Linked DNA regions of Xenopus tropicalis. The protein of the gene in region 1 interacts with the protein of each later gene in a biochemical or structural test. Links are inferred from orthologs where the notes say so. Each region holds a gene or a part of one and is shown in the gene's direction. Other genes may lie near its edges.

Region 1 (3,213 bases):
TGGGAATGGGATAGGGACCTTAGATTGTAAGCTCACTGGGGCAGGGGCTGATGGAATGGGATAGGGACCTTAGATTGTAAGCTCACTGGGGCAGGGGCTGATGGGAATGTGATAGGGACCTTAGATTGTAAGCTCACTGGGGCAGGGGCTGATGGGAATGGGATAGGGACCTTAGATTGTAAGCTCACTGGGGCAGGGGCTGATGGGAATGGGATAAGGACCTTAGATTGTAAGCTCACTGGGGCAGGGACTGATGGGAATGGGATAGGGACCTTAGATTGTAAGCTCACTGGGGCAGGGGCTGATGGGAATGGGATAGGGACCTTAGATTGTAAGCTCACTGGGGCAGGGACTGATGGGAATGGGATAAGGACCTTAGATTGTAAGCTCACTGGGGCAGGGACTGATGGGAATGGGATAGGGACCTTAGATTGTAAGCTCACTGGGGCAGGGGCTGATGGGAATGGGATAGGGACCTTAGATTGTAAGCTCACTGGGGCAGGGACTGATGGGAATGGGATAGGGACCTTAGATTGTAAGCTCACTGGGGCAGGGACTGAAGGGAATGTGATAGGGACCTTAGATTGTAAGCTCACTGGGGCAGGGACTGATGGGAATGGGATAGGGACCTTAGATTGTAAGCTCACTGGGGCAGGGACTGATGGGAATGATGCAGAATATGTCGGCGCTATATGAATAAAGGATAATAATACAATATGTGTTGCCTGAAGCGATAGCCAATCAGAAGCCGCTCGTGTTCCTTTACTGAAGCCTTTCTCTTCCCTCAGGGACGCGCAGCCAATAAGAATGAAGCTGAGGGTGAGAGTGAGGAAGCAGACCAATCGCTTAGAGCTGGAGGCGGAGAGTCCGACCCTGGGAGACTTGCGCAGTAAATTATCCTCCGTCACCCTGCCGGCTCTGGGCTACAGGTAATGCGCTGCCCCCCTGGGAACAGACATACAGCAGGGACACTTACCCTTTAATTATTATATCCTTCCTTTGCAGCACTGAGGCAAATTTCACCATCACACTGAATGGCAAAGATGCCCTGACTGGGGATCAGAACACTCTGGAGTCTGCGGGGATCATCTCCGGGGATCTGATTGTTGTGGTACTGCCGGACTCTCAGCTGCCCCCGCCGCAGCCAGCTCCTGCTCCGGCCCCCGATAAGCGGGATCTTGGCTGCCCCCTGGTGGATCCCAGCCAACCCTGCAGCTCGACTAACAAGAGGCCCAAGAGCCAGTCAGATGATAGCACAGGAGCCCAAGCCATGGCTCAGGTAATGTGTGCTGAGATACTACTGGTAGTACTGGTATTCCTGGTTTACTCAGTAGTAGGGATGGGTGAAATAATTCTCTACTCAGTAGCCATGGGGCATGAGACATGGGGCATGAGACATGGGGCCGGAGACATGGGGCAGGAGACAAGGGGCATGAGACATGGGGCCGGAGACATGGGGCAGGAGACAAGGGGCATGAGACATGGGGCAGGAGACAAGGGGCATGAGACATGGGGCATGAGACATGGGGCTGGAGACGTGGGGCAGGAGACGTGGGGCAGGAGACGTGGGGCCGGAGACGTGGGGCAGGAGACGTGGGGCAGGAGACGTGGGCAGGAGACGTGGGGCAGGAGACGTGGGGCTGGAGACGTGGGGCTGGAGACGTGGGGCAGGAGACGTGGGGCAGGAGACGTGGGGCAGGAGACGTGGGGCAGGAGACGTGGGGCAGGAGACGTGGGGCAGGAGACGTGGGGCAGGAGACGTGGGGCAGGAGACGTGGGGCTGGAGACGTGGGGCTGGAGACGTGGGGCAGGAGACGTGGGGCCGGAGACATGGGGCAGGAGACATGGGGCCGTAGCCATGGGGCAGTAGCCATGGGGCAGTAGCCATGGGGCAGTAGCCATGGGGCTAGAGACGGACAGGCTTATCTAATGCCCATTGGTTTTGCTGCCAGGCTGCCCAGCAAGCCCCTCCCTCAGCGGAGGACGTGGCCATGGAGGATGGGATGTCGGGCCCGGCCTGGGAGGTGATGCTCTGCAGCGAGGCACTAGATGGGAAAATCCCCCACTCCCTGGAGGTTCTGTACCAAACTGCCGGCTGCACCGGCGCCAGCGACGCGTTCATAGTCGCCATCCACCTACTGATGCTGGAGACTGGCTACTTACAGAAGGTAGGGAGTCAATATGGCCCCCCCCATCCCAGGGATCTGTGATTGGTGGGTCGGTAACCCTTCCTTGTCCCCCCCCAGGGTGCTGAAAGCAAGGTGCTGTGTATGCCGCAGGATTGGCGCAGCGGGGGGGCCTACAGGCTGCACTACACTCACCCTCTGTGCGCTGAAGTCTCGGCCACCTTGGCTTGTTTGCCGATGGGCAAGCTGGTCATAATCAATGGTGAGTATTACTTGTACTTTATCCTTCCTCTTCCTCCCAGTCTGCCAGCCCCCTGCCTTCATCTGCTGTCTGTACTGCCCCCTGCTGTGTGTGTGGCACAGGAGCATGTTAAAGAGTTAGTGCCCCACCTAGTGTACATGCATTGCATTGCAGCCTTGTATTAAAGCTCCTTCTCATTGCTCTGGTATATTCCCCCCCCCCATTCTGTTTATAGGAACCATGTGACACCAGGTCACCCATAGCACCTATAAACTCTGAATTCTAGGGTGACAGTTGCTCTTCCTGTTTGTATTCATTGCCTACAGCAGGGGTCCTCAAACTTCTTAAGCAATGGGGGGGCCAGACCACCACCTACCCCAGGGGGCTGGAACCGGCCCGTGGGCCACAGTTTGAGGACCCCTGGCCGACAGCATAGGCTCACATCTTGTTGCAATATGGCTGCCGCCATCCTCATTTCTCCTCTTTTGCACGTGCAGCCACCCTGAAGATTAACAGCGAGATGAAAAGTGTGCGGAAACTTCAGCTGTCGACCAATTCCTACATTTCCTACCCCGAGACAGGTACGGGGCAGATTCCGCCGGTAAAGGGGGTGCGGGGGCCAAAAAAATTGTCAGGAAAGGGTTAACGGATGAAGAGCCGGGATCAGAAGTTTATGTCTAAACACAAGAGCCATGCGTTTTCTGTAAACGATATCCTTTTAAATGGTGCTCTGTGATGTCATCAGTTATAATTGGTGCTCAGTGATGTCATCTGTATCACATGATGTGTTATAATAAATAAGGTACCCCCTGTTGTAAAATAGTCACCTTATATTCCGTTCCATGA
Region 2 (3,752 bases), on another chromosome or scaffold:
GAATGTAACTTTAAAGCAAGCACACCCTGTGACTGTTGGGAGCCTGCTGAATAATAAGTAGTTTCATTATATGTATATGAAAGATATTATTTCTAATTTCAAGGTGTGCCAAAATGATTTTTCAGGGCCTAGTAACTTCTACTTATGCTACTGTTTACAACACCGTACATGGAGTAGGAAGCAACTAGTCTTTAACTAGTAGTAGTGAAGTGGCATTTTACAAAGTGTAGCACCGGCCTGATGGAAAGTGTTGGGGGCACCCAATAAATTGCCACCCACTGAATCTAAGTTTCCCTGTCCTTTAAAGTGCACCTATGACCCTTTAACTGCTTCTCCCACCAGAGGTGCAGGCTAATAGACGCAGCACTTTGGTTGAGGGAAAACGATAGTTTGGTTTTTAAAAAATACAGCAACTGCCATTTCTAGGCTGCCCGCACCTGAATGAAGCTCCCAGTACAGGCAACCATGTTGTTTGCCATGCGTGGGCATAATAAATGCGCCTTTCCACTTGCAGATGATGCGCATGCGCCTGATCTAGGCGTGGTGGATGCAATTCACCCTCCATCACAAGCATGCACATAATAAGCAACTTGTGGCACTCACTCATTATGCACATTGTGAGAAATGAGGCAATATGGCTGCCCACACCTGGAGCACTCTTCTGCTGCAGGCAGCCTAGCAATGGTAGGAGCTTTTTTTTTTTTCACAAAAAGCTATTGTTTCCCTAACCTCTGATGAGGGAAACAATTTGAGGGTGATAGGTGCCCTTTAAGGTGAGCTGTATTAGAAGGTTATATTCTAGGAGATTAAAGGATATATTCACTGTTCATTCAGAAACTTTGTGTCAAGTTGAAGTTTTCTACTGCACTACTAAATAAAAGCTCTGTAAATCACGTTTCCCCACTAGAAACCAACATCTAGCTTTGTTCCCATCAGCCTCAGCAAGACCCCTCCTTCCTCCGCTCAGATTACACTTCCCTCGCACCAGTGCGTCACAGTGTTCGTGGGCTTGTGGGATTTGTAGGCTGCTCCTCCCACAACGCCGTGGCTTCACTTGCAGTTTCCGGCACCCGTTACTCTTCCAGCCAGCAAGTTAATTCGCAAAGCGGCTCCGTTGTGCCGTAACATGTCGTAATAAAGCCTTTAGTCGTCTAGCAGCCCCTTCTTGCTAAAACACCAAAAGCCTACTGATCCCATCCTGCCCTACGCGGAGGACGCTGTGGGCTCCTGGTTAGAAAGCGGGGAGCGGAACTACCATGGCCCGGCCGGTGGCGCCGGTGCCCAGCTCTCAGAAGGCCTTGATGCTGGAACTCAAGGGGCTACAGGAAGAGCCGGTGGAGGGGTTCCGGGTCACCCTGGTAGATGAGGGGGATCTGTACAACTGGGAGGTGGCAATCTTTGGCCCCCCAAACACCCTCTATGAGGGGGGGTACTTCAAGGTGAGGGTTAGGTGTGTGTGAAATGGTGGAGTTCGTGATCATAGGGGCCTTGGGGAGGGAAAGCCACGCTGGGGGGTATTTAAAGAGGCAGTAAGTAATAGAGGCGTGGGTGGGTATTGCGTACATCGCTGGGCCTTTCTGCACAACAAGCTTTCCTTTGTTTATGTGACTCCTACAGCCATAGCCGTAACTTGCCCGAAACTAATGTTTCACATGAAACTCAACCAGCCCTCAAAGCTACCCCAAAACTAAAACTTACTGAAAGAGTGTGGCACTACTAAATCTTTAATCCTGTTTTCTGCGAGTTGTAGTCCAACAACAGCTGCTAGGCCCCAGCCACAGGATGCACGGTGTTAGAAAGCAATAAAGGCCTTTGTGTAACAGGAAAACGCTCTAAACTCTTCATCTAACTTCTGATTTGGCACTTTGTGTTTGTGGAGATACCCTGGGTTTATATGTATTCATCCTGTGCCTATTTCATAAAGATTTTCAGAAGATTAATCAAACATAGGCGTTCCACTCTTTTACATTTTAGTATGCCATACTAGCTACATGTATGAAGCCTCATTCTTTTAAGGATTAAAGGGGTCTCTATACTTAGTTTTGGGCAGTTTTGTTAAGATGTGCCTTCTATAGTGTGTGTGTATATATATATATATATATATATATATATATATATATATATATATATAATATTAGTTTCAAGGGACTACTTATTCCTAGACATTTGCACAGATCAAGAAATTTAATAGGGGTTTATAATGAGATGTTAAATGGCTAGAACAATGTAATTGTGTTTTACAGGGGTGGTTCACCTTTAAGTTAACTTTTAGTATCTTATATAAAGACCTATTCTAATCAACTTTTCGAATATTCTTCATTATTTGTTTTTCATAGTTTCTTAATTTATTTGCCTCCTTGTCCTAACTCTTTGCAGCTTTCAAATGGGGTCACTGACCCCTGAGCCAAAAAAAAATCATACTAAAAAGTTAAGTCAAAGGTGCACAACCCCTTTAAAGGGGTTGTCCACCTTTTACTTAATTTTTAGTATGATGTAGAGCGTAATATTCTGAAACAATTTGCAACTGGTTTTCATTTTTTATTTGTAGTTTTTTTTAATTATTTCAGTTTTTGGTTGTCTCCAGCTTGGAGTTTCAGCAGCTATTTGGTTGCTTGGATCCAAATTACCTAAGCCACCATGGTGTGATTTGAATAAAAGACTGATATATAAATACGAGAGGGCCTGAATAGAAACATAAGTAATGTACAATAACAGTTAAACTATAGCTTCGCAGAACAATAGTTCTTTGGCTTGGGGGTCAGTGACCCCCCTTTGAAAGCTGCAAAGAGTAAATAATTCAAAAACTATGAAAAACATAATGACTAATTGAAAAGTTGCTTAGAATTGGCCTTTCTATAACATACTAAAAGTTAACTCAAAGGTGAACCACCACTTTCAATATATGTATAATATACATATTATTAGGGATACACTGAATCCAGGATTTGTTTCGGCGTTTGGCCAAGATTCTGCCTTTTTCAACAGGATTCGGATTCAGACGAATCCATGTGCCTGGTTGAACCAAATCTGAATCCTTAAAATCACTATTTCTTTATGTAAACCCAGAAGTTGAACATTTTTATTCCTTTTATAGGTTAGTTTTCAAATGCAAATTAGAGTTTGGTTCGGTATTAGGCCAAATCTTTTACAAAGGTTTGAATCATAAAACTCTGGAATTGGTGCATCTCATTATCCAGCCTCCCTGGAACTGAAAACAGACCTTATTTTTTATTTACTTATCATTAATCTGATGACAGCTGAGCTTGCTTACCCATCATGCAGTTCTATAAGTATGAGATCTATTATTCTGAAAGCTTTTGGACATAATTCAAATCTTTTATTGGGGCCTCTTGCATGATAGCCACATTCAGAGTGCCAATGCACCCTCATTCAATAGGATTTTCAAACTTGCCGTATTGAAAATTGATCAGCTATTGGTCAGACGGGCCCTATACACGAGCCAATAAGCTGTTAATTTGGCCTGGAGGCACTGACCTAGCAGCTTTTATTGGCCCGTTTATGGCCTGCTGAAGCATTTAAAAATAAAAACCAAGATGATCTTTTAGCCAGAAACATGGATTTATGTTAGCTTAGTTATCATAAAGCACAAGATACTGTTTTATTGTTACTACAGAAAGAGAGCAAACAAGTAAAAAATTAATAAATTACACTTTTTTTTTTAATAGACTGAAATTTGGTTGATCTACTCTTAGATATGTTGCTTGAGAACCATTATTTTGTGCTAATCGGAG
Region 3 (3,752 bases), on another chromosome or scaffold:
GTCACTGGGTATAACCGGGGACTCTGTGTAACGGGAGTATAACCGGGCACCTTGTTTAACTGGGTATAACCGGGCACCCTGTATAACGGGGGTATAACCGGGCACCCTGTGTAACGGGGGTATAACCGGGCACCCTGTGTAACGGGGGTATAACCGGGCACCCTGTGTAATGGGGGTATAACCGGGCACCCTGTGTAACTGGGTATAACCGGGCACCCTGTGTAACTGGGTATAACTGGGCACCCTGTATAACGGGGTATAACCGGGCACCCTGTGTAACTGGGTATAACCGGGCACCCTGTGTAACTGGGTATAACTGGGCACCCTGTGTAACGGGGGTATAACCGGGCGCCCTGTGTAACGGGGGTATAACCGGGCGCCCTGTGTAACGGGGGTATAACCGGGCGCCCTGTGTAACGGGGGTATAACCGGGCGCCCTGTGTAACGGTATAACCGGGCGCCCTGTGTAACGGGGGTATAACCGGGCGCCCTGTGTAACGGGGGTATAACCGGGCGCCCTGTGTAACGGGGGTATAACCGGGCGCCCTGTGTAACGGGGGTATAACCGGGCGCCCTGTGTAACGGGGGTATAACCGGGCGCCCTGTGTAACGGGGGTATAACCGGGCGCCCTGTGTAACGGGGGTATAACCGGGCACCCTGTGTAACGGGGGTATAACCGGGCGCCCTGTGTAACGGGGGTATAACCGGGCACCCTGTATAACGGGGGTATAACCGGGCACCCTGTGTAACGGTATAACCGGGCACCCTGTGTAACGGGGGTATAACCGGGCACCCTGTGTAACGGGGGTATAACCGGGCACCCTGTGTAACGGGGGTATAACCGGGCGCCCTGTGTAACGGGGGTATAACCGGGCGCCCTGTGTAACGGGGGTATAACCGGGCGCCCTGTGTAACGGGGGTATAACCGGGCGCCCTGTGTAACGGGGGTATAACCGGGCGCCCTGTGTAACGGGGGTATAACCGGGCGCCCTGTGTAACGGTATAACCGGGCGCCCTGTATTCCAATGCCCTATGAGGGCTCCTCCTAACCCCTCCCCCCATGTGCTACTTTGTTGCTGCTTCTTTATCGCTCTCTCCCCCCCCAGGCCCGACTGTTCCAGGATCTTCGTGGCTTTGGGCTTTGGGTTCTACTTGGATCTGACGCTGCCGGAGGCGCTGAAGTTCATTGAGAAGAAAAACAAAATGCTGACTGAGTAAGGATGCCCCTCCCCCTGGCACAGAGGCCCCTCCCCCTGGCACAGAGGCCCCGCCCACACACATTGCTGATTTTCATTCTTCTCCTTCAGACTCACTTTCTGCCACTGAGGTGATGCGCTCATTTAATATGCTAATTTGGAGTGGGATTCCTTTGCTATTGGCTGGATGTTGGGAGGAGCTACAAGCAAGGGGGGGGGGTGCGTGTGATGTCAGTATATACACCCCTGGGCGCTTAGTATTACCCCCTCCCCAGTCTACTGTCCGCTGCAAGGGGGTAGTTACTGCTCACTAGTCTGTCACTGCTGGTTACCCCTAATGCACAAACTGCCCGACACAGGGGCGCCGCCCACCTGTAATCTCTCCGCCCCTCTCTTTCAGGGTAAGCGACAGTTTGTCTAGGGACGCCGCGAGCATCAAAGCCCATATCCGACTGGTACTGGAGGTGAGTCCGGCGCAGGGGGCGGAGTGTATGGTGGGGGGAGTATATTATCTCTTATCTCAGCCCCTGCCCCAGTGAGCTTACAATCTAAGGTCCCTATCACATTCCCATCAGCCCCTGCCCCAGTGAGCTTACAATCTAAGGTCCCTATCCCATTCCCATCAGCCCCTGCCCCAGTGAGCTTACAATCTAAGGTCCCTATCACATTCCCATCAGTCCCTGCCCCAGTGGAGCTTACAATCTAAGGTCCCTATCCCATTCCCATCAGTCCCAGCCCCAGTGAGCTTACAATCTAAGGTCCCTATCCCATTCCCATCAGCCCCTGCCCCAGTGAGCTTACACTCTAAGGTCCCTATCCCATTCCCATCAGCCCCTGCCCCAGTGAGCTTACAATCTAAGGTCCCTATCCCATTCCCATCAGTCCCTGCCCCAGTGAGCTTACACTCTAAGGTCCCTATCCCATTCCCATCAGCCCCTGCCCCAGTGGAGCTTACAATCTAAGGTCCCTATCCCATTCCCATCAGTCCCAGCCCCAGTGAGCTTACAATCTAAGGTCCCTATCCCATTCCCATCAGCCCCTGCCCCAGTGAGCTTACACTCTAAGGTCCCTATCCCATTCCCATCAGCCCCTGCCCCAGTGAGCTTACAATCTAAGGTCCCTATCCCATTCCCATCAGTCCCTGCCCCAGTGAGCTTACACTCTAAGGTCCCTATCCCATTCCCATCAGCCCCTGCCCCAGTGAGCTTACACTCTAAGGTCCCTATCCCATTCCCATCAGCCCCTGCCCCAGTGAGCTTACAATCTAAGGTCCCTATCCCATTCCCATCAGCCCCTGCCCCAGTGAGCTTACAATCTAAGGTCCCTATCCCATTCCCATCAGCCCCTGCCCCAGTGAGCTTACAATCTAAGGTCCCTATCCCATTCCCATCAGTCCCTGCCCAGTGAGCTTACAATCTAAGGTCCCTATCCCATTCCCATCAGTCCCTGCCCCAGTGAGCTTACAATCTAAGGTCCCTATCCCATTCCCATCAGTCCCTGCCCCAGTGAGCTTACAATCTAAGGTCCCTATCCCATTCCCATCAGTCCCTGCCCCAGTGAGCTTACAATCTAAGGTCCCTATCCCATTCCCATCAGTCCCTGCCCCAGTGAGCTTACAATCTAAGGTCCCTATCACATTCCCATCAGTCCCTGCCCCAGTGAGCTTACAATCTAAGGTCCCTATCCCATTCCCATCAGTCCCTGCCCCAGTGAGCTTACAATCTAAGGTCCCTATCCCATTCCCATCAGTCCCTGCCCCAGTGAGCTTACAATCTAAGGTCCCTATCCCATTCCCATCAGCCCCTGCCCCAGTGAGCTTACAACCTAAGGTCCCTATCACATTCCCATCAGTCCCTGCCCCAGTGAGCTTACAATCTAAGGTCCCTATACCCAGTATGGGGTAGAACTGAACTCTCTATGAATGTTGCGTTTCAGGGTCTGCGGGAGTTGCAGGAGTTGCCGGATGACACAAAGGTGCCAAGTTGACGGAGGGCAAATAAAAGGGAACGCGCCGCTCTGCGCGCCGCCATGTTGGGTTTGGCTGGTTTCTGTACTGACTGTGTGGCCCCCGCCAAGCTCCGGGGAGACTGTGTGGCCCTCGCCAACTCCGGGGGCTGCTTCTCACTGTAGATAATACACGCTGCACGTGTGACACGCCCGAATTGGGCACGGAGGCAGCTCTTTACACTGGGCTAGGCGGGGCTATTGCATCCCGGGCACAGAAGTGACGGGGTTAAGTCAAACTGGGGTTCTGGGCATAGGGAGCCCCCTGCACTTGTGGCCCCCAGACACGGCTAAATGTGGCCCCTGAATGTGTTGTATCATTTGCTCTTATTTACAAATAAAAAAAAAACAGTCCGACTGTCAAGCTTAACCCTTAACCTGCCTCACTACCTACAGAACTAAATGGTCAGACCCCGCCCCCTCAGACGCTCGGTCGTTAACATTGTGTGATATGAGATAAGGACTCTGGGTTCCTGACCCCCAAACCTTACCTGCACCCCCGCCCCTAACCGGGGACCCGCCCCCAACCCCTACATGCCTCTGGTTCCAAG

The links.
Region 2: the proteins of fbxo7 (region 1) and cdc34 form a complex in vitro, tested with the Homo sapiens proteins (2 studies listed by BioGRID, with this or other methods). The link is inferred for Xenopus tropicalis from reciprocal best matches to the Homo sapiens genes FBXO7 and CDC34.
Region 3: of the proteins of fbxo7 (region 1) and uxt, one has a biochemical effect on the other in vitro, tested with the Homo sapiens proteins (2 studies listed by BioGRID). The link is inferred for Xenopus tropicalis from reciprocal best matches to the Homo sapiens genes FBXO7 and UXT.

Annotation. Positions count from the first base shown.
Region 1 is NC_030679.2:7,493,053-7,496,265, reverse strand, and holds part of fbxo7 (F-box only protein 7), read left to right. Parts: intron 1-788; 5' UTR 789-807; coding exon 808-929; intron 930-1,005; coding exon 1,006-1,279; intron 1,280-1,952; coding exon 1,953-2,168; intron 2,169-2,246; coding exon 2,247-2,388; intron 2,389-2,864; coding exon 2,865-2,948; intron 2,949-3,213. UniProt on the Homo sapiens protein: Substrate recognition component of a SCF (SKP1-CUL1-F-box protein) E3 ubiquitin-protein ligase complex which mediates the ubiquitination and subsequent proteasomal degradation of target proteins and plays a role in several biological processes such as cell cycle, cell proliferation, or maintenance of chromosome stability.
Region 2 is NC_030677.2:105,629,754-105,633,505, forward strand, and holds the start of cdc34 (ubiquitin-conjugating enzyme E2 R1), read left to right. Parts: upstream 1-1,099; 5' UTR 1,100-1,256; coding exon 1,257-1,439; intron 1,440-3,752. UniProt on the Homo sapiens protein: E2 ubiquitin-conjugating enzyme that accepts ubiquitin from an E1 ubiquitin-activating protein, and catalyzes its covalent attachment to other proteins by an E3 ubiquitin-protein ligase complex. In vitro catalyzes 'Lys-48'-linked polyubiquitination.
Region 3 is NC_030684.2:1,338,360-1,342,111, forward strand, and holds the end of uxt (protein UXT), read left to right. Parts: intron 1-1,107; coding exon 1,108-1,215; intron 1,216-1,597; coding exon 1,598-1,661; intron 1,662-3,132; coding exon 3,133-3,183; 3' UTR 3,184-3,578; downstream 3,579-3,752. UniProt on the Homo sapiens protein: Involved in gene transcription regulation. Acts in concert with the corepressor URI1 to regulate androgen receptor AR-mediated transcription. Together with URI1, associates with chromatin to the NKX3-1 promoter region.